Linked DNA regions of Astyanax mexicanus. The protein of the gene in region 2 purifies or fractionates together with the protein of the main gene of each other region. This does not show direct contact. Links are inferred from orthologs where the notes say so. Each region holds a gene or a part of one and is shown on either strand. Other genes may lie near its edges. The genes, in order: gart and inpp5ka.

Region 1 (12,583 bases), on a different chromosome or scaffold from region 2:
TCCTTTTTAAATCAACTTTTGGTGTATAATTACAACATGGGATATAGATTAAATTAGCTGCATTTTGAACTGGATTGGTTATATGGTTCCTGAGAAACTTTTATTTTTATTTTATTTATTTTTTTTAGCACTGACTCCTCCCCCTTCAGGAGTACATCAGGAAACAAATTGACATGTCTGCACAGAATCAGTCTTAAATAAGTTTGTGAAGTTTTCTTTAAATCAGTTTAGGCCTTACAATGTTATAGCTGTCACCTGAGTACGTTTGGTTTCGTTCTAAAATTATAAATTTGTATGTGGCGGCCATCAAGTATAAAAATATCGACATTTTTTGCCCTGGTGAGAATCACACTTTTCCTGAGGAGTTTGATCCCAAACATTTTAAGATTAGTAAAAAAAATCCTAGGACTTGTTCGCACTGTTGTTCACATTGACAAAAGAGTGCTAAAAAGAATTTTGAGAATAGGTCTTACAGTTCTGAAGTTATTGGACAAAACGAATGATGCTTTGCTATAACGCCACCATCAGGCCAATGAGTGTCATTTTGGTGTACCTTGTGGCCAAGTTTGGTGTTCCTCACCCTTAGTGTCTTTGCTTCACATTGATTTTTAACCAAAAAAATAATAATATAGCTCTGGGGGGGGGGGGGAAATGAGAAATGGCTGAAATAACAAAAAAGATGCAGAGCTTTCAGACCTCAAATAATGCAAAGAAAACAAGTTCATATTCATAAAGTTATAAGAGTTCAGAAATCAATATTTGGTGAAATAAACCCTGTTTTTTTTATCACAGTTTTTATGCATCTTGGCATCATGGTCTCCTCCACCAGTCTTACACACTGCTTTTGGATAACTTTATGCTGCTTTACTCCTGGTGCAAAAAAATTCAAGCAGTTCAGTTTGGTGGTTTGATGGCTTGTGATCATCCATCTTCCTCTTGATTATATTCCAGAGGTTTTCAATTTGGTAAAATCAAAGAAACTCATCATTTTTAAGTGCTCTCTTATTTTGTTCTCTTTATGTAATTAAGATAACCTGCTGGGACCTTAATAAATGAGATTAGTGACGAAGAAAAAAGAGAATGCTCTTGATTCTTTGTTTAAATGGGCAAAGATTTCCAACAGTGCACAGGTCATCAGGACACTCCAAAGTTCAGACCTGTAACCGTAACACATATCTTGATAAATCTATCACTGAGCAGCTCTGGAGCAACAGCATGGAGGCATTTAAACATGATTAAATAATCTAACAAAGACACATCCAGGGGGATGTCTCAATTAACTCAATGAATGGTGACCCATGTGTCACAGACCCTTTAAAGCTGTGTAAAATTTCTCACAACACTTTATACATCACATGGGTTATACATAACCCATTATTAACGTTCCTAAGTGATGCATACTAAACAAAGTATTTACAGAATGCTAGGGTTACTGCTGCAGACAAAACCAGTTCCTTTTAAAAGTGTATTTTTTTTACAGCTCTGTTCCAATCATTTAACAATTGAAATACTTTAATTAATGTTTTACATTCCGTACAATAACTAGTTTTTACCCAATTCCTAGAGTATGATGTTAAAATACAAGTTATAATATTAAATTGTTGTGTTATTTGTAGCATCAAGAATTTTATCTTAAAATATTTACTGGTAGTCATGTGGCCACTGCTCACTGAACTGTACGTTCAGAATTAAAGAGCCACTAAACCCTAAATTATAATAGCTGAAATATGTTCCGTTGAATAAAATAAATAATAAAACACAACAGACCTGCTTAAAACTTTTATAAACATTTCCTAACCTTTAAAAAATGCTTTTATTGCGGTACTTTCTGCCTCTGCAGCGCCCTCTCAGGTTCAGCTGTGCTATAGGTGAGGATGATGTGTCTGTGTACTTTGGTAGGCAGACAAATCACAATATGCAAATCAGTCAATCAATAACACCACCCTCCTGCTGACATCCAACCTTACTGCTATTAGAGGCACAGTGCTGCAGCTGCAGCTCAGCCATTCAGCTCCCCCTCCTGTTCTGCCTCTAAACCCATACATCACCCAGTGTCCCTTCCATTTTTTTGTCTTTTTAAAATTTGAGCTGAAGGTGGAGTCAGCTAAAATCAGGCGGTTTAGTGCCCCTTTAGTTTGAAATTTGGCATCAATATTTAGAAATGGGTCTGGGCTCTTACGGATCTGTGCAACATTAAATTATTTTTTGTTACGTTTCATCTTTTTTGCTGCTTGAAACTGCTATGGTACAGTTACTTCTATCACATATTTATAATTGAGACACATATTGGAATATTAATATCATGTACTGGACAATATGGCAACATTTTTTTATCACAATATATTTGTCAATTAAGGTTGATATGATACAATTCCGAAGTTGTTATAAATAAGATAAAAGCCAGCACCCTTGACATACTGATAGAGCTGCTGGGTGACATGGTAAAAATAATATATCATGATATTTAAAGACATTTTCACGATGCGTAGAATTTATTATGGCTTGGCACACAGACTAAATGCACCAGCAGTGGCAGATTCTGCTTTTTTTGCTTTTCAAATACTCCTTCACATTAAATAGAGTGCTTACTATTTAGTTTTTGCTGCACATCATCCAATGAAACAGGATTCTTTTACACTCTCTGTAATGAAACGTACAGTTGGGTCGGTGTTCTTTAAGTACTGATGATATCCTTATTTTTTTTATTATTGATACAATAAGAAAATGTATCACAATACAACAAAATATCAATATATTGTCCTGGTCTTGGATCAATGACGAAATTTGGTGTTAAATTCTGTTTTATTATTATTTTTTTTTCATATTGCAATTTCATTTATTTTTCCAATATCGTGCAGCCCTAATCTAGCAAGATCACCAGTGAGGTAAATAGGGCCATATGGCTCTAAAATAATTTCACGATATTTCAGGGTATTTTTATGATAACGATATACTTGGTGATATAGGAAAACTAAAATAATTAATTAATTTCAGGAATATAGTATAATAGTATGACAGAATAATCATAAATGTGGCAAAAAAAATAATATAGCATAAAATAATATAATGCAGCAAATAATATTGCAGAATATTTAGTGCATGCATATAAACTGCAAACTAAAACTTATATTATACAATAAATAAACCTAAAGCTTCACAGTAAACAGTAGACTACTTTTAAGACCGAACATCCCTATTATCACGATATGGATTATTAATATCAAGATATTTCTGTGTCACGATATATTGTATACGATATAATATTGCCCACCCCTATTGGAGAGCTTTGCAGCCAATAGATTCATGCTCAAAGGAGTCCTATTCTACTGGCAGTACATTTCTACAGGCACTAGATAAGGTTTGTATGTGGAGGTTTATAAGTATATGCAGGGAGTTTAATTGAATGAATAAAGTGACCTATAGAGCACCAATCATGAGATTGGAACCAACATTTTAATAGCTTGAAGAAATTAGTGACCTTTTATTCACACATAAGGCAGTAAATCCATATACAACATAAATGTCACAGGAGCAGGAACTCAGACAACCATACAATTAAATAGACTTATCAATCTGCCTGACCAACAGAAGCACTATAACGAATGTCTGGTATTAGTTCTTAATCTGTATAGAGCCCAAATGCAAGTAATTTCAAGTAACTGTAATAACTACCGTTCTATATTTTTTTAACATTAATTTATAGGCCCTACAGTAGAACCCTGTGGGACTCCACAAAATACATTACAATTCAATCACAATACTGTCTTCTACTGTGTTGTAGAGGCATCTCTAGTAGTCAACAATCTCTCACCAAGAGGTACACTACCCAAAAGGCATCTGTTACCAAGTAATTCACAGTAATGTTCCAAATTGTGTTGTACATCCCTATCTTGCAGTCAACAATCAAAATCAGTCTATTGACCTAAATATGAAGCTGTTAAGCTGCAGTAAAACATGCACTGGATTGGAAAAAAACTATTCCGCAGATTAGTCAACTACTACAAAAAAGTAAATAGTCGCACCTCTATACAGGATTCATACACATTTGAACCATAAATTTCCATGAATTATATAAGTATAATTAAAATTGGTTTTAGTAGGTCTAAAACAAATCAGATAAAAATGTTGACACAATCTTTAATAATAAAATGTGTCAGATGCTGAGAGCTCCATAGTGTCGGGCTAAATTACTGAATTAACTCTGAGCTGACGTATTTGTTGTTAGCTTAATATAGATTTTCTCCATCGATAAACTGAAAAACAAAGATTTGTAGACCAAATTTCCATGACTTCTCCAAAACTTTCTGGGTATTTTTATTTTTCCAAAACTTATCATGGCCTGGAAATTGCAATTTTTTTTTTTTTCCAAACCTTCTTTAAATGTTGCTTTGGGTTCTTTTGTGACCTCCTGGATGAGTTGTCCATGCCCTTTGGAGTAGGCTGATTCACCAGTCTTCCATGTTCTCTTTAGAAATGTCTTTGTAACATTTTTCAAAGTGATAGATGATCAATATTCAGATTATCTTGGTTATCTTTGTCTGAAGTTTGTTTGATCATCCGAAAAATGTAAATGGGACAAAAAGGTAAAAAAAAAAAAAAAAGGTGAAATCTGTAAGGAAGCAAATCATACACCAATAACTGTACCTGGTCCACCTTAAAAAAAGAACCCAGGTTCACAGTGACCCTGTTTGACCTATGGCACAAAAACCCACTGATACAATTCCCAAAGCTTACAAACGATTATTTAAGCATGAATTTAACATGGAAAGGAAGCGACATTAATTTACGCAAAAATGCTACACAAGGCAACCAATTTACTGCAGTGATTAAATTGGTTTGGTGGCTGCAGGCATGTGATTCACGAGGCAGGAGTTAAGCATGTTACCAGCACAGAGCTGCACGCGGACTAACTCAAACGTTACCTGTTTAAAACACAACTGGAGAGTCTATCTCACCAGTAAACCCAGTAATAAACCCAGTGACGGAGAGCTGCAGCTCCATGTGAGCAGCAGGAAGATACTGGTGAAAGAAAATTCAGATGAAGCAACGCTACAGTAACTTTCCTCACCCAGCAGATAAACTCTAAACACTAATCCCAGATCAGTACAGAGGATTCAGCAGGTGATGAGTCTGTATCTCACCTGTTCTGGAGTCAGTACAGAGGGAAGGGAAGGCTCGGGGTGTGCGGTGCTGCTGCTCCAGCTGCGGTCCAGGTTCCAGTGGAAGGACTCGGGTCTGTACTGGTGTGAACTGGGAGTCTGCTCGTGTGGAACTCCTGAAAGAATCGTTTGTCCTGAATCGATTCTTTTGAACTCGGCTCACAAACTCAAATGAATCCCAGAAAGTTTTGTGGCGCTGACGCAACAGGTTTACATGTTAAAGTTATAAAAAAATAATAAAATATATTTTATTCATATTTGATATGTTGTGCAAAAAGAAATAAATAAATAAAAAATAAGCTGTGTCTGCTTTTTTTACATTTTTGATGTTATTGAGACATGCTGTGTAAAATAATAATTACATAAATTATTAATAATAATAATAATAATAATAATAATAATAATAATAATAATAATAATAATAATAGTAGTTTCTTAAGTGACTTAGTAATAAAAAATGTGTTTTAAGGTATATAAACAAGTTTAATTTGACAGAAAGTAAGAGATATGTTGTCAAGTTTTTTTTTTTAATCTTGGATGTTCTTGATTATTATATGTTGCGCAATAAAATAAATATATAATAATAATAATAATAATAATAATAATAATAATAATAATAATAATAATAATAACACATACATACACAAATAATAAAAAAAACAACGATTAGATATAGGTATATGAAGAAGAAAGTAACAATCACAATAGTATTCACACATATCAAAGAACAATAAACTTACAATAGATAAACAGATAAAGATAACAAAATAAGGGCAAAATGCAAAATAATACAAATAAATAAAATAAAAAATATAGAATAATAAAGAATTCATAGCAGCTGCTTAAGATATAAATATACAATATAAACGTATAATATAAAATATTAAATTAATATATACAGTTAGAGTTACAGTTAAAGCTCGCTACTAATAAACTTATACATGTATTTAATCGTATTGTAAAGATTTAATAATTATATATTTGACTCGATTTATTGATTCATTGAATCTGTTGTTAAATTCGTTTAAAAGTGTCTGAAATAAAAAAATCAATTCTTTGAACTGAATCGGATCACTGATCAGTAGGATCGCTGTGTATCAGAATCACCAAACACGTGTTTCAGTTTCAGCGCTCTGACTGAACACCCAGCACAGATAATCCCGTATATATAAATTACTATAATCTATAATACAGCGCGCGGGGTTTACATAGCAGCACACTGATCACATTTATACACACACTTATACACACACTCACACCTTTAACTTCATAACGGCTCTGCTCACACTTCCGCGATGTGTTCCAGGGGCTTATGGGTAATGTAGTTCATTCTGGTCTGTAGTCGCATTAGAGCAGTGGTGGAGGAAAAATACAAACCCTGTGTTTGAGTTAAAGCAAAGATACTGCAGAAATGTTACTGTAGAAAAATGTGAAATAATGTCTTTAAACCTTCACTGGAGTAAACGTAGTTAAATGTTAAATGTTGCATATTGTTTTAAACCAATAGGCTATTTTTCTGTATTTCTGTAAATGTCTAAAACACATCTCCCTCACACATAGCCGCACTAAATCTAATAATAATGGTCTACTTATTTAGTAGAATACTGTGGTTTGATTAAGTGTTTAGGGTGTTGAGTTTTTAAAGTTGAATAAATATAAGATTTTTTGTTGTAATATACAGTAGTGTTAGTAAATATAAATACTATATATGGCCATTTAAAGAACAAATCATATACAGCTTTGGAAATTAAGAGACCACTTCAGTTCCTGAATCAGTTTCTCTGAATTTTGCTATTTATAGGTATATATTCCTATAAAAAATAAACATTGTTGCTTTATTCTATAAACTACAGACAACATTTCTCCCAAATTCCATATAAAAATATTGTCATTCAGAGCATTTATTTACAGAAAATGAGAAATGACTGAAATAACAAAAAAGAGTTCAGAAATCAATATTTGGTGGAATAACCCTGGTTGGTTTTTAATTACAGTTTTCATGCATCTTGGCATCATGTTCTCCTCCACCAGTCTTACACACTGCTTTTGGATAACTTTATGCTGCTTTACTCCTGGTGCAAAAATTCAAGCAGTTCAGTTTGGTTGTTTGATGTCTTGTGATCATCCATCTTCCTCTTGATTATATTCCAAATGTTTTCAATTCGATAAAATCAAAGTAACACATTTTTTAAGTGGTCTCTTATTTTTTCCAGAGCTGTATATATGGTGTATTATTATTATGACTAAGTGACACATACTGAACATCCTAAGTGCATCACTACAGGACAGAGGGTAGTGTCCTGTGTTCTTTCACCTCACCTTATTTACACAGAATATAGGAGTGCTGGAGTGCTGGAGATAAAACTTGTGTAAAAAGTACTTTTTTCTCCTTCTACAGCTCTGTTTTAACCAGTTTAATGATTACAATGTTTTAATAAAATGTTTTGAATTCTTTATAATTAGTACTGACCTGATTTCTGGAACAAAATGTTCAAATACAGGTTATACAAATTGTTGTGTAATCAGGATTAATATATATATATATATATATATATATATATATATATATATATATATATATATATATATATACAGTTGTGGTCAAAAGTTTACATACACTTGTAAAAAAACATAATGTTATGGCTGTCTTGAGTTTTCAATAAGTTCTACAACTCTTATTTTTCTGTGATAGAGTGATCGGAACACATACATGTTTGTCACAAAAAACAGTCATAAAATTTGGTTCTTTCATAAATTTATTATGGGTCTGCTGAAAATGTCACCAAATCTGCTGGGTCAAAAATATACATACAGCAACAAAATTTGTCAATTTTGGTGATGTAGCGAGTTGTGTCAATCAAATTAGCTTCATGTCATGGCCTCTACACTTCTTGTAAGTGATTCTGATTGACTACAGCTGTTGACTTCTCATGAGCCCATTTAAATAGGGCTCATTTGACCCAGTGATTAGACTCAGCTACAAAAGCTACAATGGGAAAGTCAAAGGAACTCAGTGTGGATCTGAAAAAGCGAATTATTGACTTGAACAAGTCAGGGAAGTCACTTGGAGCCATTTCAAAGCAGCTACAGGTCCCAAGAGCAACTGTGCAGACAATTATACGCAAGTATAAAGTGCATGGAACAGTTGTGTCACTGCCACGATCAGGAAGAAAACGCAAGCTATCACATGCTGCCGAGAGGAGATTGGTCAGGATGGTCAAGAGTCAACCAAGAATCACCAAGAAGCAGGTCTGCAAGGATTTGGAAGCTGATGGAACACAGGTGTCAGTCTCCACAGTCAAGCGTGTTTTACATCGCCATGGACTGAGAGGCTGCCGTGCAAGAAAGAAGCCCTTGCTCCAGAAAAGGCACCTTAAGACTCGGCTGAAGTTTGCTGCTGATCACATGGACAAAGATAAAACCTTCTGGAGGAAAGTTCTCTGGTCAGACGAAACAAAAATTGAGCTGTTTGGCCACAACACCCAGCAATATGTTTGGAGGAGAAAAGGTGAGGCCTTTAATCCCAGGAACACCATGCCTACTGTCAAGCATGGTGGTGGTAGTATTATGCTCTGGGGATGTTTTGCTGCCAGTGGAACTGGTTCTTTGCAGAAAGTAAATGGGATAATGAAGAAGGAGGATTACCTCCAAATTCTGCAGGAAAACTTAAAACCATCAGCCCGAAGGTTGGGTCTTGGGCGCAGTTGGGTGTTCCAACAAGACAATGACCCAAAACACACATCAAAAGTGGTAAAGGAATGGCTAAACCAGGCTAGAATTAAGGTTTTAGAATGGCCTTCCCAAAGTCCTGACTTAAACCCCATTGAGAACATGTGGACAGTGCTAAAGAAACGGGTTCATGCAAGAAAACCATCACATTTAGCTGAACTGCACCAATTCTGTCAAGAAGAGTGGTCAAACATTCGACCTGAAGCTTGCCAGGAGCTTGTGGATGGCTACCAAAAGCGCCTAGTTGCCGTGAAAATGGCCAAGGGACATGTAACCAAATACTAATGTTGCTGTATGTATATTTTTGACCCAGCAGATTTGGTGACATTTTCAGCAGACCCATAATAAATTTATGAAAGAACCAAATTTTATGACTGTTTTTTGTGACAAACATGTATGTGTTCCGATCACTCTATCACAGAAAAATAAGAGTTGTAGAACTTATTGAAAACTCAAGACAGCCATAACATTATGTTTTTTTACAAGTGTATGTAAACTTTTGACCACAACTGTATATATATATATATACATATATATATATACATATATACGTATATATATATATATATATATATATATATATATATATATATATATATATATACATATATATATATATATATATATATATGTATATATATATACGTATATATATATATATATATATTTACAGTTATAAAAACATGCATGAGCTGAATGTATCCAATTCAGTTATTTTGGAATTTCGTATTTGATATCAATATTTAGAAATGAACTCCTACGGGTTCATCAGTTTATTAAAATAATCATAAACACTACAGATAAAAAAAAAACATTTCATTAGCTATAACAATCATGACATCGCAACCACATCAGCCTTACCCAGCATCTAAACACTATTAAATACAGGAGCATCTCAAAAAATGTAAATATCATTGAAATATCATATCATTAAAAAAATCATTTTATTTCAGTAATTCAGTTGAAAATGTGAAACTCATATATTATATAGATGTATTAAACACACAGAGTGATCTATTTTAAACATTTTTTTCTTTTATTGTTGATGATTATGGCTCACAGCCAATGAAAACCCAATATATTTTGTAAGACCAACTGGTACTTTTGTCAGTGTGGGCAGTGTGCCAAATCCTGCTGGAAAATGAAATCTGCATCTCCATAAAAGTTGTCAGCAGCAGAGGGAAGCATGAAGTGCTGTAAGATTTTGTGGGAAAACAAAACTGCACTGACTTTAGACTTGATAATAAAACACAGTGGATCAACACCAGCAGATGACATGTCTCTCTTTTTTATTTTTTTTTTTAGAGAGATTTCATTTTCCAGCAGGATTTGGCACACTGCCGACACTGCCAAAAGTACCAATTGGTCTTATATAATTTTCTTATTTTCTGACATACTGATTTTTAGGTTTTCATTGGCTGTAATCCAAAATCATCATCAATAAAATAAACACTTAAAATAGATCACTCTGTGTGTAATACAATGCTGTTGTTTTTGTTCTTAATAAAGCACCACAATCAGGCTCCAGAAGATGGAGGCTTTGATGATGACAGTAGGAGAGAACCCTGGTTTTAAGCATTTAATAAAAGAGCTCGAGCCCTGTTACAATATTCCATCCCAAAAACTAAACATGGTTATAATGAAGATTCATTGTTATGAAATTGTTTTTTTCCACCAACCGTACCGAAAACGTATTGAAAACATACTGCACCGTGGGGTTTATACCGAGGTGTGAACCAAACCGTGAATTTTCTGCAAAGTTACACCCCTAATAATAAGATAAAAATATTTAAGATGCATTCACACAGGTAGAACTGAAAACCAGTGCACTGTGTTGCCATATCCCTTCAGTACACTGATTTCCAGGCTTTTAATTTATATAAATAAATCAGTTTTACACATCTAAAAGTATGATGTTCTTCACAACAGCAGAGTGGACAAGTTTACACAAGTGCAACACGCCAAAACTTCCACCTTTTACCAGTCTGCCAGAGAATACAGTGTTAAAAATCTCGCTAATCGTTTTCGTACAGATTAAAATACTGACACAAAACTTCAATTGCACATCATCTATAAGAAGCACAGCAACGAGCTGCATGAAGGACAAGTCCAGACACGATGCAGATCATAGTGAACTGCTGACTATAACACAGGCAGCTCTGGAGCACCGAGCAGCTCCTGACCAACTGCAGAGTCTCTGAGAGTGAAGAGCGTGATTCCAGAGCTGTACGCTGCGGGGATGGTTATGTGCGTCGTTTTTGGATGGTCCTGATCACTGTGGTCTTCTTCATTTATCATCTGCTTAACTTGACCTAGAAATAATAAAAAATAAAGAAAGCAATCAATGATATGGACAGGAAATAGTGTAGTTCAATTTTACTGTAATAAAAAAAAAAAACACTTAAAATTACAATAAAGAAGTAACATTCAGCAGAGCATGTGGAGCTGTGTTATTCTTTTATATATATATATATATATATATATATATATATATATATATATATATATATATATATATTTTATTTATAATTTTTACTCAATTTTATTTCCCAATTTACACGGCCAATTACTCAACCCACTCATTAGGACTCCCCCTATCACTAGTGATGCCCCAACACACCAGGAGGGTGAAGACTAACACATGCTTCCACTGATACATGTGAAGTCAGCCACCTCTTTTTGAACTGTTGCTGATGCAGCATTACTGAGCAGCATCACAGCGCACTTGGAGGCAGCTAATGGCAAGCTACATCACCAGGATTCGAACCGGAAATCTCAATCTCCTGATCAGAGGGGCAGCGCCTAGCCCACTGGACCACTCGGAGCCTGAGCAGTGCTATTCTCATCATAAATGTACCTCAGCAGTGCTACTTAAGTTACATGAGTGAAATTCACACAAAGAAAGAGAGACAGACTTGTAGTAAACAATAAGATGCTAAGTTATCTCAGCTAAGTTACTATCCTAGTCCTGTACAGCTCCAATCTTTCATTTGGCAGTTTGGGAAAGCGCAGTAAACTGAGTAAACAGACACCAAACATATCTACAGACTTTTAAAGTACCTTCAACATTGATGGTTTTCCAGCGGGGGTCAGCCTGCTGATCTGAGATCAGTGAGAGTGGGCAGTCCAGCGTTAGCCTGTTTAAGACGTCTTCACGGCGGATCAGCAGCACAGATTCACTGCACAGACGTACATGAACGTCTTCTTCACCAGCTGTAAACACAAAGAAGCAATCAGATTAATATTACTGTAATTGGCCAAAATTTATATTTTAGCGACACTAACGGCAAAATCCAGACACTGTATTATCACACTGTAACAAGAGAGCATTATAAGCAGCAGGTTAAAACAGTAACTAACTGATGGTAATCACAGCAGGATCATTAGCGTAAAATGTTCTTTTCCCTCCCTCTGTGCTTCTTAAACTGCACAAGTAATTAGTCTACTTTTGCCTCTAATAATTCAGACTTTATTTTCATAATATTTAAAGCCCCACTAGGTAGGATTTCCTTGATTTTTGATCTTTTTAAAGAAGTAAAATTACAGCTTGAAACTCACTGCAGCGCTGCATTGAGGTGTAATAGGAGGAATAGCGGTGCTCTCGTGTCTGTGCCGGAGCTCCTCTGAGCTCAAACCAGACTCTGTAAGTTTTCTGAGGCGGCCGCGACCAAAGCTCGCGAGAACTGCGACCTGCT
Region 2 (12,923 bases):
TATCAGAATAACAGAAATGTATTGAAATAGCAGTACTTTAATATAACCCAGAGGAGCCAGCATGTTCATGAACAAATGACTCCAGGAATCGTCAAAGGCCAGGTCTGTCACAAACTTCAGGGGGGCTGCCCTCACCTCCTGCAGACTGGGGGAAAACACAAGTAGACACACTTAGACACACACTCCTTCTTACACTTACTGCACACTCGTACTGGACATAAATAAATAAGCATTTTTTTGATGGTTTGCAAAAACCTACATTAATAATAACAGGAATATTTATGTTTAAAGGAAAAAACACATAATATCTATTTATGACAATATGTATAATACACAGACTTTCATAGTCACATTACTAAATGAAAAACACACAGTGATCTGAACATTGTGTGGCTGATAGTTAGATAGAAGGAAAGCTAAACCACCTACTAACTATTTAACTTACCTTATATTTGAGTATATATATATATATTTAGATTTTATATTTCTATTGAGACATTCATTTAATAATCTTAATGAATTGTGCTAAATGAACAGTGCTTTACTGACTCAGTATACAGTATGTTTGCTGATTCTCAGCTGTCACGCTTCAACAATGTAAATACATGAATGCAAATGTTGGGTGTGGAGCGACCAAGAATACTTTTCTGGTGAATCTAGTTTTGCCAGACTTCCACTGGCTGCATAAACTCACCAATGGCTTTTTATTAAAAGGACGACTATATGCTAAACATTTCCGCTATATATTTACTGCTTTTTATAAACTAGAATATTATATTTCATCTACTGTTCCATGTGACCTTATCTGCTAAAGGACTCAAGCCTGGTTGCCCTTAGCTATTTAAAATGTTACCACATATTCATAAAACAATACTATATACAAGTTTTTAGTTATGAATATATGCGTCCAGTACCTCATAAACATGACCTGTAAATCATTCACACACAAAAGAATTGGTTTCCTTATATGTGATCTTGTAGTACAGGAAAACATAGAAATAAAACCAGGAAAAGAACTACACACAGCCAATTGATGGCTATGGCTGAATTTCTTGACCCTGCTCTTTTAGTTTGTAGTGGGGGTTAATAACTAAAGGCTAATAAGGCTATAACTAATTAGCCTTTAAACCTGTAATGCTGCCAGTCTTTTTAACCAAACCATGTCAAAAACTCGACATAAGTAGCGCTGAGAGGTTAATTAAATGACTATTTTAATGCAACGTTCAAAGTGGGTTAATGGAAATTGTACATCTTTAGATATAGAAACTGCCATACAGAATCTCAGTAGATAGGTTTGTGCTTCTATCAGAAACCTGTAAAGAGTAAAGAACTTTTTAATGTGGCAGATCATTATTACAAACACTGCTTCTTAGGCTCAAGGAAGCTGCTTGCTATTCTTAGTTTTTTATTTTGTAATTGTTTTATGCAGGGTTTGTTGTGCTTGGATGGTTTGAATAAAAACAAATGTAAAAGACTGATTTTGATAAATGTAAAAGAAGCATTCATTTCTATATTCGATATATCTAAATTGTGCTGTTTAATACATTTGTAGTTGTGCCAAAATAGTAACAAAGTAATAAATAAATAAATAAAACTGTCATTATAGCCCTATCTGGACTAAAAAAGTTTGCATCCAGACTGCAAAAGAAAAAAAAAAAAAAAGGAGGACCAGTGTGTTTTTTTGGCTTTCTCAGTCACGACATCGCATTCAGTAGCTCCTCCATTTCCACTCACTGGGTTTACGTGAATATTCGGGGAAACGTGTGCACAAGGTGTAATTACGGTGCATAGCAGTAAACAAATAGCTATTTTATTAAACGCGAGGTGACAACAACAACTCAGATATGTTTACAACGTTCAGTGAAAAACAGTAGATAATTTAGCCTGTAATTTTCTCAGAGGACTCAGACATCTGGATAGGGTTTTAGTTGTTCTTTAAAAAAAATAATAAATAAATAAATAAAGCTTAGTTGAGAATTGATTTAATTTTAAAGATTTATTCTTTTTTTATTTATCCAATTGTCTGCCTAGTTTTCTCATCCTTTGTTTTGCCCACTTTATTTCCCTCTTAAGGAAATGCACTTCCCTCTTACTTCTGCAGTTTTTCGTTGTGTGTGTGTTTGTCACTCTTTTTACATCTGTGTATTCTATTTGATTTCACTATTCTACTTGTTGTAAATACTGTTCTCTGCACACTAGTGGGAACCTGCACCCAGGTTTTTCACTCACATGTACACCTGTACTCTGTGACGTGACAATAAAAATTGTGAATCTTCTCTAGTTTAAAACCTTTTATCTCTGCAGATAATAGAGTTTTTACAGTAAAAATGAGATTCAGGCCTCTAATCTAATGTAGGAGCAAAGGCCAGTTTAAAAATATTAACAATTCTCCTTTCAGACTTTAAAAGATTTTTGCATGGATATTCAAGCATGACTTCAAGCTCACCCGATCACATAAAGGTCTGCTTTCTTAGAAGAATGAAGCTGTAGCAGTGAGCTGACATCTTCTGGAGGTTCAGCTGTAGCCACGTTCCATGTGACCATATAGAGCCTGTGGGGGGTTTAAAAAAAAAAAAAAAAGATATAAATAAAACTTAGCAAAATTAAACATAATACTTTAATACGACTCAAAGCAGAAGTAGAATGGGTTGATTAAGCTGTGAGTAATGTGAATGGCATGTTTATCCTCCTTGGTATGTTTTATCCTAATTCTTGTGTTTAACAAATTGCCATTTCAAGAAATTGGCACATTCCAGGCAAAGTACGCTGCAGATCAGGATCTGAGACTTCCTGTCTAATCCATCTTAGCTATTTCTAGTGTGACAAAAACAGTACAAATTTTTCTCTCTAAGAACTCTGCTTTTCAGACCTTCAGATCAACAAACACACAGATACACTGAGCCCATGACTGAACAAAGGTCTTTCTTTTTCTTCAGGAACACAAAAAAGAACTGTAGTATCAAACAAAAATGGCTATTATTATCACAAGAAAAAAAAAGGCTTCCAGAAAATGCTTCCTGGCCTTTTCCAAGAAAATGCATCCGCTCTCTTGCACTTCTAAAAATAACAGAGCTACAAAGGCTTTATTGAGAGACAAAACAGAAGAACTGTTTTTTGAAAGTGATGTGATGTAACCTCCAAACTAGTGAAGAATCTTTTCATCAATTTCTTAAAAACTTTAAAAGATTCTTTATACAAAAATGAACAAAATTGGTTCTTAAACACCATCAATAAAATAACCAATTGGAGCACTTGTACTGTTAAGAATGCCATATCGTATTGTATGCAACAATACTGCCAACATTTTTGAATATCGTGAATGACATTGTAGCCTGAAATATCATGCTTTAATTACCCACCCCTAATTAACACATCAGGGTACTAGTTTTTTGCTATTTTTAGCAAAAGAAAAATTCACACTGTTTTTATTTCCCATTATATATCTACTAGAGACAGATTATATCTGTCCAGTATCATTTATTTTACTTTAATCCTGGAGATATGGAAATATATGGAGTGCATTATTAATATCAGGACATTCTGGATCATAAACGTCTGTTTCAATAAAATTCTTGTTTTTTTTTTTTGTCTCAGTTAAGGGTGTGCCATATCATATCGTATGCAATACCATTTATTATTTATTTTATTTATTTTTTTTGCAGTTGAGTATTATTGATTATTTTTTATTCAGTGTTTTGTCATATCGCCAAAAATATCGGTATCACAAAGATACCCTGAAATATCGTGATATTACTTTAGGGCCATATTGCACACACCTACTACACAATATATTGTTTGTTAGGTGCTAAGTGCTATCGATATATTGACCTTTGACCTGCAATATAAATATTTCTTACATTTGTACTGTGTTGTAAAGAGGCCCAAGTTTTACTGGAGGGGTTGTGCATCAAGACGTTTCTATTAAAAACTGAATCAAAATAATGTTTGCTGACACAGATATTCAAATGCAGACGAACAGCTTGTCATCAGATCAGATATCTTGGGGATAAATTTGGGTGGGAAAGTGAGTTTGTGATCAAGAACCACAGTATATCAATCAGTATCTGACCTTACCAATTTGTCTATAGCTGAATGCAATCAAATCCACACAACAATGCTCTAAAATCTATTACAAAGCATTACCTAGACAGAAGAGACAGTTATTCCAACAAAAACAGAAAAACTCTATTTTTAAGACTCTTAATTTCTGAAAAAACAATGAATGACCTTCAATGATCTTGATTTGCATTACATTTATTTTCTGTCTGGCTGCAAATGCAGTAAAGTAAGTAAATACGTTGCCCAGGTTTACCTGAACAACTATTCTGGTTTTCAACAAACACAATCAAATACTGGTTTAAAATTTTTGTCCAGAACTCAGAATTTTGTTAAAATCAAGAAGCATGTGACTGTGAATATCAAGAAGAATGAAGAATGCGAGAATTGTTTTGCAACCCTATGTAAAACCAATATGGCAACCCTATGTAAAACACAGTTAATACTGAACCTGAACTGATCCTTTTGGAGTTGCAGAGCTTTCTGCCCACAGATCTCGAACGCTTCATCCAGGGTTTTGGCCACCTGGGCATGAACTCTCTTTGTCCATAGTCCACTTATGACTATATCTATCTTGATTTGCATTACATTTATTTTACATTTACATGTAAATTTACATTTTATGGCTGCAAATGCAGTACAATAAGTAAAGACGTTGCCCAGCTTTACCTGAAAAACTATTCTGGTATTCTAGAAACACATAATTCAGTACTGGTTTAAAATTTTAGTAAAATTTTATATTTCTAAAACCAGAAACGATTTAACATCAACAAGAATATAATATTGTTTGGCAACCCTATGTGAAACCAATGGCAACCCTATAAACCCAATTAAAACTTAAAAACCTGAACTGATCCTTCTGGCGTTGCTGAGCTTTCTGCCCACAGATCTCGAACACTTCATCCAGGGTTTTGGACACCTGTGCATGAACTCTGTCTTTAGAGTTCAGGTCATCCATGCAGGTCATGAGCATGGTAAGCCTCTGTCGCAGGAGCATCCGGCTGCCTGTGGACTGAGTGCCTGTGCTGTTCACGCTGTCCGAGCGCGGACGGGCCTTGGTGCTGAAATGCTCTGTAATCTCCTCCATACTGTCTCCACCGAATCCAAATTCTCAAGAAGTCTCAATCTTCAACTAATCTTTAAATTAAGATAATGAACAAGACCGTTGTCCACTTAATTAGTATAAAATAAGGATGGTTAAGAAAGTCTCAAGTTCAGCCAAATCAATGAAAGAAAACTGTGAGGAATTTCTCAGCTTTAGTGTCGTGGTAGCTTGTAGCTCACACTCATTCAGAAAAGGCAAAAGTACATGAGCTCTAGTGGGCTGGACTTCAGACTGGCTTAGGGAAGAATTACTGTAGACTCAAATCAGAGCCATGTGAGCACACAAGCTATTCAGGGTGTCTGCAGGTAAGAGGGGATCAAATATGAAACGTTTTAAGACTTTTACTACCACTCGGACTAAATTTAGAGCGCTTTCCCAATGCAAACCATACACTTATTTGTGATTGTGTTTCCTGTTCCCTGACAAACCAATATTTCAAACAAGCATATATTAACAGTTTTTTTTTTTTTTTTTTTACAAAAACGGACCTGCCTGAAAATAGGGTTCAAGTGTGAAGTTGGGATTATGTAACCTCTGCAGTTACACCTACAGTTTACCCATAGCTATAATACAATTTTCACTAGCAACAAGCAATGTGGCTAAAAAAAATAGTGCCCCTCAGGTAAACATATCTGAAAATAGTGCCACTCGGGTAAATGTATCTGAAAATAGTGCCACTCATGTAAATGTATCTGAAAATAGAGCCCCTCAAGTAAATATATCTGAAAATAGCTCCCCTCATGTAAACATACCTGAAAATAGCTCCCCTCAGGTAAACATACCTGAAAATAGCTCCCCTCAGGTAAACATACCTGAAAATAGCTCCCCTCAGGTAAACATACCTGAAAATAGCTCCCCTCAGGTAAATGTATCTGAAAATAGCTCCCCTCAGGTAAATGTATCTGAAAATAGAGCCCCTCAGGTAAACATACCTGAATAGCTCCCCTCAGGTAAACGTATGTGAAAATAGCTCCCCTCAGGTAAACATACCTGAAAATAGCTCCCCTCAGGTAAACATACCTGAAAATAGCTCCCCTCAGGTAAATGTATCTGAAAATAGAGCCCCTCAGGTAAACATACCTGAAAATAGAGCCCCTCAGGTAAACATACCTGAAAATAGAGCCCCTCAGGTAAACATACCTGAAAATAGAGCCCCTCAGGTAAATGTATCTGAAAATCGCTCCCCTCAGGTAAACATACCTGAAAATAGCTCCCCTCAGGTAAACATACTTGAAAATAGCTCCCCTCAGGTAAACATACCTGAAAATAGCTCCCCTCAGGTAAACGTATCTGAAAATAGCTCCCCTCAGGTAAACGTATCTGAAAATAGAGCCCCTCAGGTAAACATACCTGAAAATAGAGCCCCTCAGGTAAACATACCTGAAAATAGAGCCCCTCAGGTAAACATACCTGAAAATAGAGCCCCTCAGGTAAATGTATCTGAAAATAGAGCCCCTCAGGTAAACATACCTGAAAATAGAGCCCCTCAGGTAAATGTATCTGAAAATAGAGCCCCTCAGGTAAATGTATCTGAAAATAGAGCCCCTCAGGTAAACGTATCTGAAAATAGAGCCCCTCAGGTAAACGTATCTGAAAATAGAGCCCCTCAGGTAAATGTATCTGAAAATAGCTCCCCTCAGGTAAGCGTATCTGAAAATAGAGCCCCTCAGGTAAACATACCTGAAAATAGCTCCCCTCAGGTAAACATACCTGAAAATAGCTCCCCTCAGGTAAGCGTATCTGAAAATAGAGCCCCTCAGGTAAACATACCTGAAAATAGAGCCCCTCAGGTAAATGTATCTGAAAATAGTGCCACTCAGGTAAATGTATCTGAAAATAGAGCCCCTCAGGTAAACATACCTAAAAATAGAGCCCCTCAGGTGATCATACCTGAAAATAGTGCCTTTGTGTCCAGAGTTAAAAAAAAAAAAAAAAAAAAAAGTTGAATCAATGTAAATGTTTTTAATCTATTTGTTGTTACTTTATATATTATATATATATTGTACTTTTTTATTTAGCATATTTAAATATTTCTTATATTGGAAGCACAACGTCTGTTCTTAAAAAAAAAAATAATAGTTTTACTGTAAAATGTAATAGTATTATTATGCTAGCTAGTATTTTATGTGGCACATTGTCTTAAAGCTCCTTTGGGATTCCAGATGCAGGAAAAAAGCATTTTCTATAGTGTCCCTTTAAAATGACAAAATTATTGTTTATTGCAATAACTTCTGGGACAATATATCGTCCCGAAAATGTTGTATCGTGACAGGTCTAGTGAACGTAGCTAAAAATAGTGCCCCTTGGGTGAACGTAACTGAAAATAGTGCCCCTCAGGTGAACATACCTTAAAACAGCTGAACATAGCTGAAAATAGCACCCCTCAGGTAAACATACCTAAAAATAGCACCCCTCAGGTAAACAAACGTAAAAATAGCACCCCTCAGGTAAACATACTTAAAAATAGCAACCCTCAGGTGAACATACCTTAAAACAGCTGAACATAGCTGAAAATAGCACCCCTCAGGTAAACAAACGTAAAAATAGCACCCCTCAGGTGAACATACCTAAAAATAGCACCCCTCAGGTAAACATACCTTAAAATAGTGCCCCTCAGGTGAACATACCTGAAAATAGTGGCCCTTGGGTGAACATAGCTAAGCATAGTGCCCCTCAGATAAACATACCTATAAATCACCCCTCAGGGTCCTAAAAAAATGCTTTTTTGTTACATTTACACATCCTCTGCCAACTAAAAGTAACGGACATAGCTAAAAGCAAAGCCTCTTAGAGTCAAAAATAATGCTGTCAGTTCTGATCAGTTTATTTAGCTGTAAAATCAGGAAGCTAACTTAGAGGTTAGGAAATGTCTCTGAAGCTGAGGTCTGACTGTAATCAGAACAATAAAGTGTGATAAAAACTGCTGCTTTACAAGTGACCCCTTTTCCAAACAAAGACCATTCATTCAGCGGTTCAGCCTGACATGTGGTGAGAAACTTAATATCTTACTTTTTGCTTACAAGACTAGCCTTTTCATTCTGTCCAAAGTGAAAGGCTGTACTGTTCACAATGAGGATCTAAAGTGTTAAAACATGATTTTATCTGAGCTTTTTTGCTGCAGAGCACAAAGTGTGTGTATATCTCACACTGCCATGTTTTGAGCATAATACTAAACCAGTCAAACAGAAAGACAGAAATAAAAAAGGTGACCTGAATGAGTCCAGTTTTTGGTCCAGACTGATGGAGTTCAGGGCATTGGACAAGGCCTCCTCCTGCTCCATCTTCACACCTGTCAAACACACACACACACACACACACGCAGAATTACTGAATTATAAAACCAAAAACAAAGCCAAACAGCAAATATATTACATTACGCATTATATACAATAAACCACTGCTACTACTTAAAAATAAAAGTTTAATTGCTCTCAATTCTTAGGTTTACTTTATCAATACACAAAATATTCATAATATTTAGATCCAGAAATATTGCAAATAATCTGTTAATTTGTTAACAAAATGTACTAATCTTATCCAAAATACATAACTCTTAATTTCACATAAAATTTTTGACTTAAGAATGCTACTGTTGCTTAATACATAGTCATGGTTGTAACATGGTTGATGAAACAAATTTGTCATATATTGAAAGTAATTTTATCATTATCAGTGATACAAAATTATACTCTAAAATTAAGATGCCTCAACTGTCAAATAGAAAGTATTCAGGAATATTCTAACAAAAAATTGAAATGGATAGAAAAAAATAAATTGGCTTATTAGAAAAAATAAACCAATGAAAAATAAACATCTGGTCCACACAAATGATCACCATAGTCTTTATTACAATCAAATTTATATTTATATCTTTTCATACTGTAATGTAGCTTGATATATAGTAAAATTAGTACTAGTCTTCACAAAATTAGCAATCAGCATGTATTTAACTTATCAATCTTCCTAAATTTCTGACATGCAAAGGGTCAATTTTCAAAAACATTTAGGGGTGAAATGAGATTTCCCATTTGGCAAAAAATGCATTAAAATTATGCACGTGGCACATGTATTATATGCATACACATCCACAGGTTTTGCATTATATGTAATATTAATGTAATGTAATGAATGTATGTTTGAGGGAAGTTAACTAATGTCTAAAGATGAGGTCTGTTGTGTAGCAATCTACAAGCAATGAAACTGTATGATTATTTAGAGATAAAGACAGACATAGAGAGAGAGAGAGAGAGAGACAAGAGAGAGAGAGAGAGAGAGAGAGAGAGAGAGAGAGAGAGAGAGAGAGAGAGAGAGAGAGACAGGGAATTTTTAATTGACAGTAAAGTAAAAAACTTCATGTAAAATATAAGAGAAGTGTAAAATGCCATTATCCACGGTACAGAGAGAATCATTAAAACCCCCCACATCTTCAAAACCATCAATAATTTACACTGTCTAAATCCTTGACTGTATTAAAACTTTTAAAACCTGACAAATAACACCCGAATCTGACCCAAGATAAAATTAAGCAGATGGCACTTTTTTTCTCAGTTTCTGGCTGTACGGAAAAGCAAAATACTTAAAGGTTATAACTTATAACTAAAAGCTAAAACAATGTAAGTAGTTTAACTCTTAGATAAATAAACAACTGAGCCTAAACACTGGCTAAAAACAATGAGCGAGAGAGAGAAATATATATTTGAATGAAAATGTAACTGTTATGCTGTTTAGGCAGTACACCATCACTGTGAACCTTTAGTTATCTATCTGTGTAAGTTCAGCTAGTCAGACCCGGACCTGCTGCTAACCGCGCGTTATCACCACACTCATCTCTAACACAGAGACTCAGACGATTTAAACACAACGAAGGGATATATAGTTATAATCTACCTGCTCTGTCCCTTTTCCCGAGTCTAAAGAGTTCTGTAGCACTCGGTAGAAGGAGTGTTAATGTAAACTGAGCTCTGGTTCCTCAGGTCCGTGTTTATATTCCTCTCCTCCCATCCATAGCGCTGCTGCTACTACCGCCGCGGCTGCCCAGTGAAGCTCACCACAAATACATCGCTCCAATAATTTCATAATAAGAGTCCTTGAATAAAAGTCCTTCTACTTTGTGCATATTAAAACGTCTTACTGTTACTTTCCGTTCTTTTACTATTTCATCATTACTGTAACATCAGCTATTATATAAAATGGTGTTCTATACACAAATATATAGTGTTTTATACACATTTAACTATTCAAGCCTACTTGGATCCTTTGCTTGGGGAGTGGAGTGTGTACAGTTTCCACCTAACTACATAGAATGGAGCAGTATAATTTCTATTCTAGATACACGTCAACTGTGCAAGACAGACTCTAAAATGTTCTATATATTTTTTTATTTATTTGCATTTCATTATCCACTGTATATTTTTCTTCAGTATATGATTTAAGTTAACTATCCCATACAAAATGTCAATTTTTATATTTATTTACTGTATTCTGTGTCATATGTAACAATATAGTTTATTCTATATATTTATTATTATTTATTTATTTTGGTTTTTGTTTGAAGTCAGCTTAGTTTATCAGAGGGACAAATTGACAGGCCGTATCCAAAAATTCGTCTTAAATGTGCTTTTTTTTGCCAAAGTGACACAAAACTAAGCATAAATTATTCTATTAAGCTCTTGTTTACCCACTCACTGTAAAAAAGTGACTTACATTTTACTTAAATTATACTTGAAAAATTACTTTAATATTACATATTTTGTGGTTTATTAAAAATATAGTTTGCTTTAAACCAGACATCCCAAGTTGCAAATATTTATTTCACAGAGGTACCCCCACACCTGAAAAAAAAAAAAAAAAACACTGCCCACCCACACTAAAAACTGATTGGCTGACTCAGTCTTTGCAGAGAACAGGCCAATCAGAACCCTCTCTTTTTTGCATGCGCTTCATTAATATGCACACGAGGGAAGTGCCCATCTCTCCCTCTCTTTCCCACAAGCGAATGGGGGAAAAAAGGCTGTGTCTGCGTGAGCGTTTGTGTTCACTCGTTCTAGTTTCCAGGAGATTTTATCTGATTTGCTGCCATCAGGGGGCCGTTTTTGATACGCGGTAGACTCCCGCGTCTTCCGGAAGACTTGGGAAGTCTGGATGTCACATGTGTGCAGGAAACCTCATTTATTTTTTTTCTTTGTGTGGGTTTACTGTGATACGAACGGGGAACGGAGTCTGGTTTGCCTGAATGATGGTAGGGGAACGCAGCTGAATGATGGTAAAAATGTTACTACTGTATTGGATGTCACTTTTTCTTTTTCTTTTCACTGTGGAGGGTTTTTAGAGTTTTTTTGAGTTTTGAAAGCCAATAACTATTTCATTTTAATTTTTTTCAAAATAATGCTTGTTATTTTAGGATTGCAGGACTTAAAATTGTTAGCTAGAAGCTGGATGTTGTGGATAGATAGAATTTAGTACAATGCTTCATGCTGGTAGTTTAAAGCAATTTAAAATGATCCCTTTTTGAGTTTACCTGTTAAAATCTCTTAGCCCCCTACGGACCATAAATCAATCATTATGCATATCCAGCAGTGTATTAGACACATCATACCACCATTTACTTTAAGTGCCTTAGACAAATCTAGAAAATGCAGAACAGTGGGAAAATGTAGAAGAATATGCAAGAACAGGGTTGAGAAACACTGCTGTAACGTGAAAGCCACAGTAATAACACATGTCCTGAGTAAATAGTGAGAATCCAAGAAAATCCAAATGTTTTTTTTTCTTTCAGTTTTTGTATATGTTTTGACCAACTATACAGCAACTATACATCACACTATTCAATAGTGATGTTTAAGTCTGAGAAAAGTATGAAAAGAATGTTGCAAAAGTAGTTTTAATTGTAATTTTAATAGGTGAGTTGGGAATATTGAAAATGTAACTTATTTTAATAGTTCAGGGTTAGAGTTAGTCCATCATCTCTGTGCCTGATGCCCATGCTTTTTCGACGATTTTTGCTCTCCTGCCCGACGGGATCGCTCTTTGGCCCCATGGGGCCGCTCCCCAGCCCGATGCGCCATCTCCCCAGCCCAGCTAGGTCGCTCCCCAGCTCGGCGTGCCCGCTCCTGAATGGGCTTAACCGCCATTCATCTCAGCCCTTGCCTACTCCTGCTCGCTGTTCCCGGCGTGGATCTTGGCATGACGACTCTACTGTGGCTTCCACCTCCTGGGTGCTGCTTCCTTCACCTTCTCTCGTCTGCCTCCTTCCTTTTCTGCCCCACTCCCTTCTCTCTCTGCCCTCCCACCTCCAGTGTTTTCTGCTCCTTTGGCCAGTGGCCTTGCTTCTTTCTTTTCCACCGTTCCTGCCCCGCCCCCACTGTTTCCGTTCCCCCTGTTCCCTCAGTTCTCCCCATTCCCTCCAGCAGCCAGCCATGCTTTTAATTCCTTGTGCTCTCTCCTCAGGTGCTCAGGCTCCCCAGCCTCTCATGCTCGCTGCCCGGGTCCATGACGGCTTCTTCTCCCTCTCCACCGCAGTTCCTGCCCCTGTTCTATGTGGAGTTTGGACAGTCTTCTAAAGAAAGATTTCCTGAATAGTACAATTTTTGCAGTATTATAGTAGTACACAGAACGCAATATCTGTGTGGATAAATGTCCGGAGAATGCTTAGCTGCGCACCATGTCACTCATGTCTCTTCAGTACACAGCACTCAGTGTGATTGATATTTAACAATGTCATAAAACTTAAGTGGAAAGAGGAACCAAGTGAAAGTGTCACATT

Evidence for each region.
Region 1: the proteins of inpp5ka (region 2) and gart purify together in Homo sapiens (co-immunoprecipitation; 3 studies listed by BioGRID and IntAct, counting the BioPlex papers as one, with this or other methods). This does not show direct contact. The link is inferred for Astyanax mexicanus from reciprocal best matches to the Homo sapiens genes INPP5K and GART.

What each region holds. Positions count from the first base shown.
Region 1 is NC_064428.1:7,037,453-7,050,035, reverse strand, and holds the start of gart (trifunctional purine biosynthetic protein adenosine-3), read right to left. Parts: upstream 5,288-12,583; 5' UTR 5,142-5,287; intron 1-5,141. Other genes in the region: uncharacterized protein LOC111193577, read right to left, coding at 11,031-11,200, 11,949-12,101. UniProt on the Homo sapiens protein: Trifunctional enzyme that catalyzes three distinct reactions as part of the 'de novo' inosine monophosphate biosynthetic pathway.
Region 2 is NC_064425.1:30,524,965-30,537,887, forward strand, and holds the start of inpp5ka (inositol polyphosphate 5-phosphatase Ka), read right to left. Parts: upstream 5,566-12,923; 5' UTR 5,144-5,565; coding exon 4,902-5,143; intron 2,552-4,901; coding exon 2,447-2,551; intron 146-2,446; coding exon 37-145; intron 1-36. UniProt on the Homo sapiens protein: Inositol 5-phosphatase which acts on inositol 1,4,5-trisphosphate, inositol 1,3,4,5-tetrakisphosphate, phosphatidylinositol 4,5-bisphosphate and phosphatidylinositol 3,4,5-trisphosphate.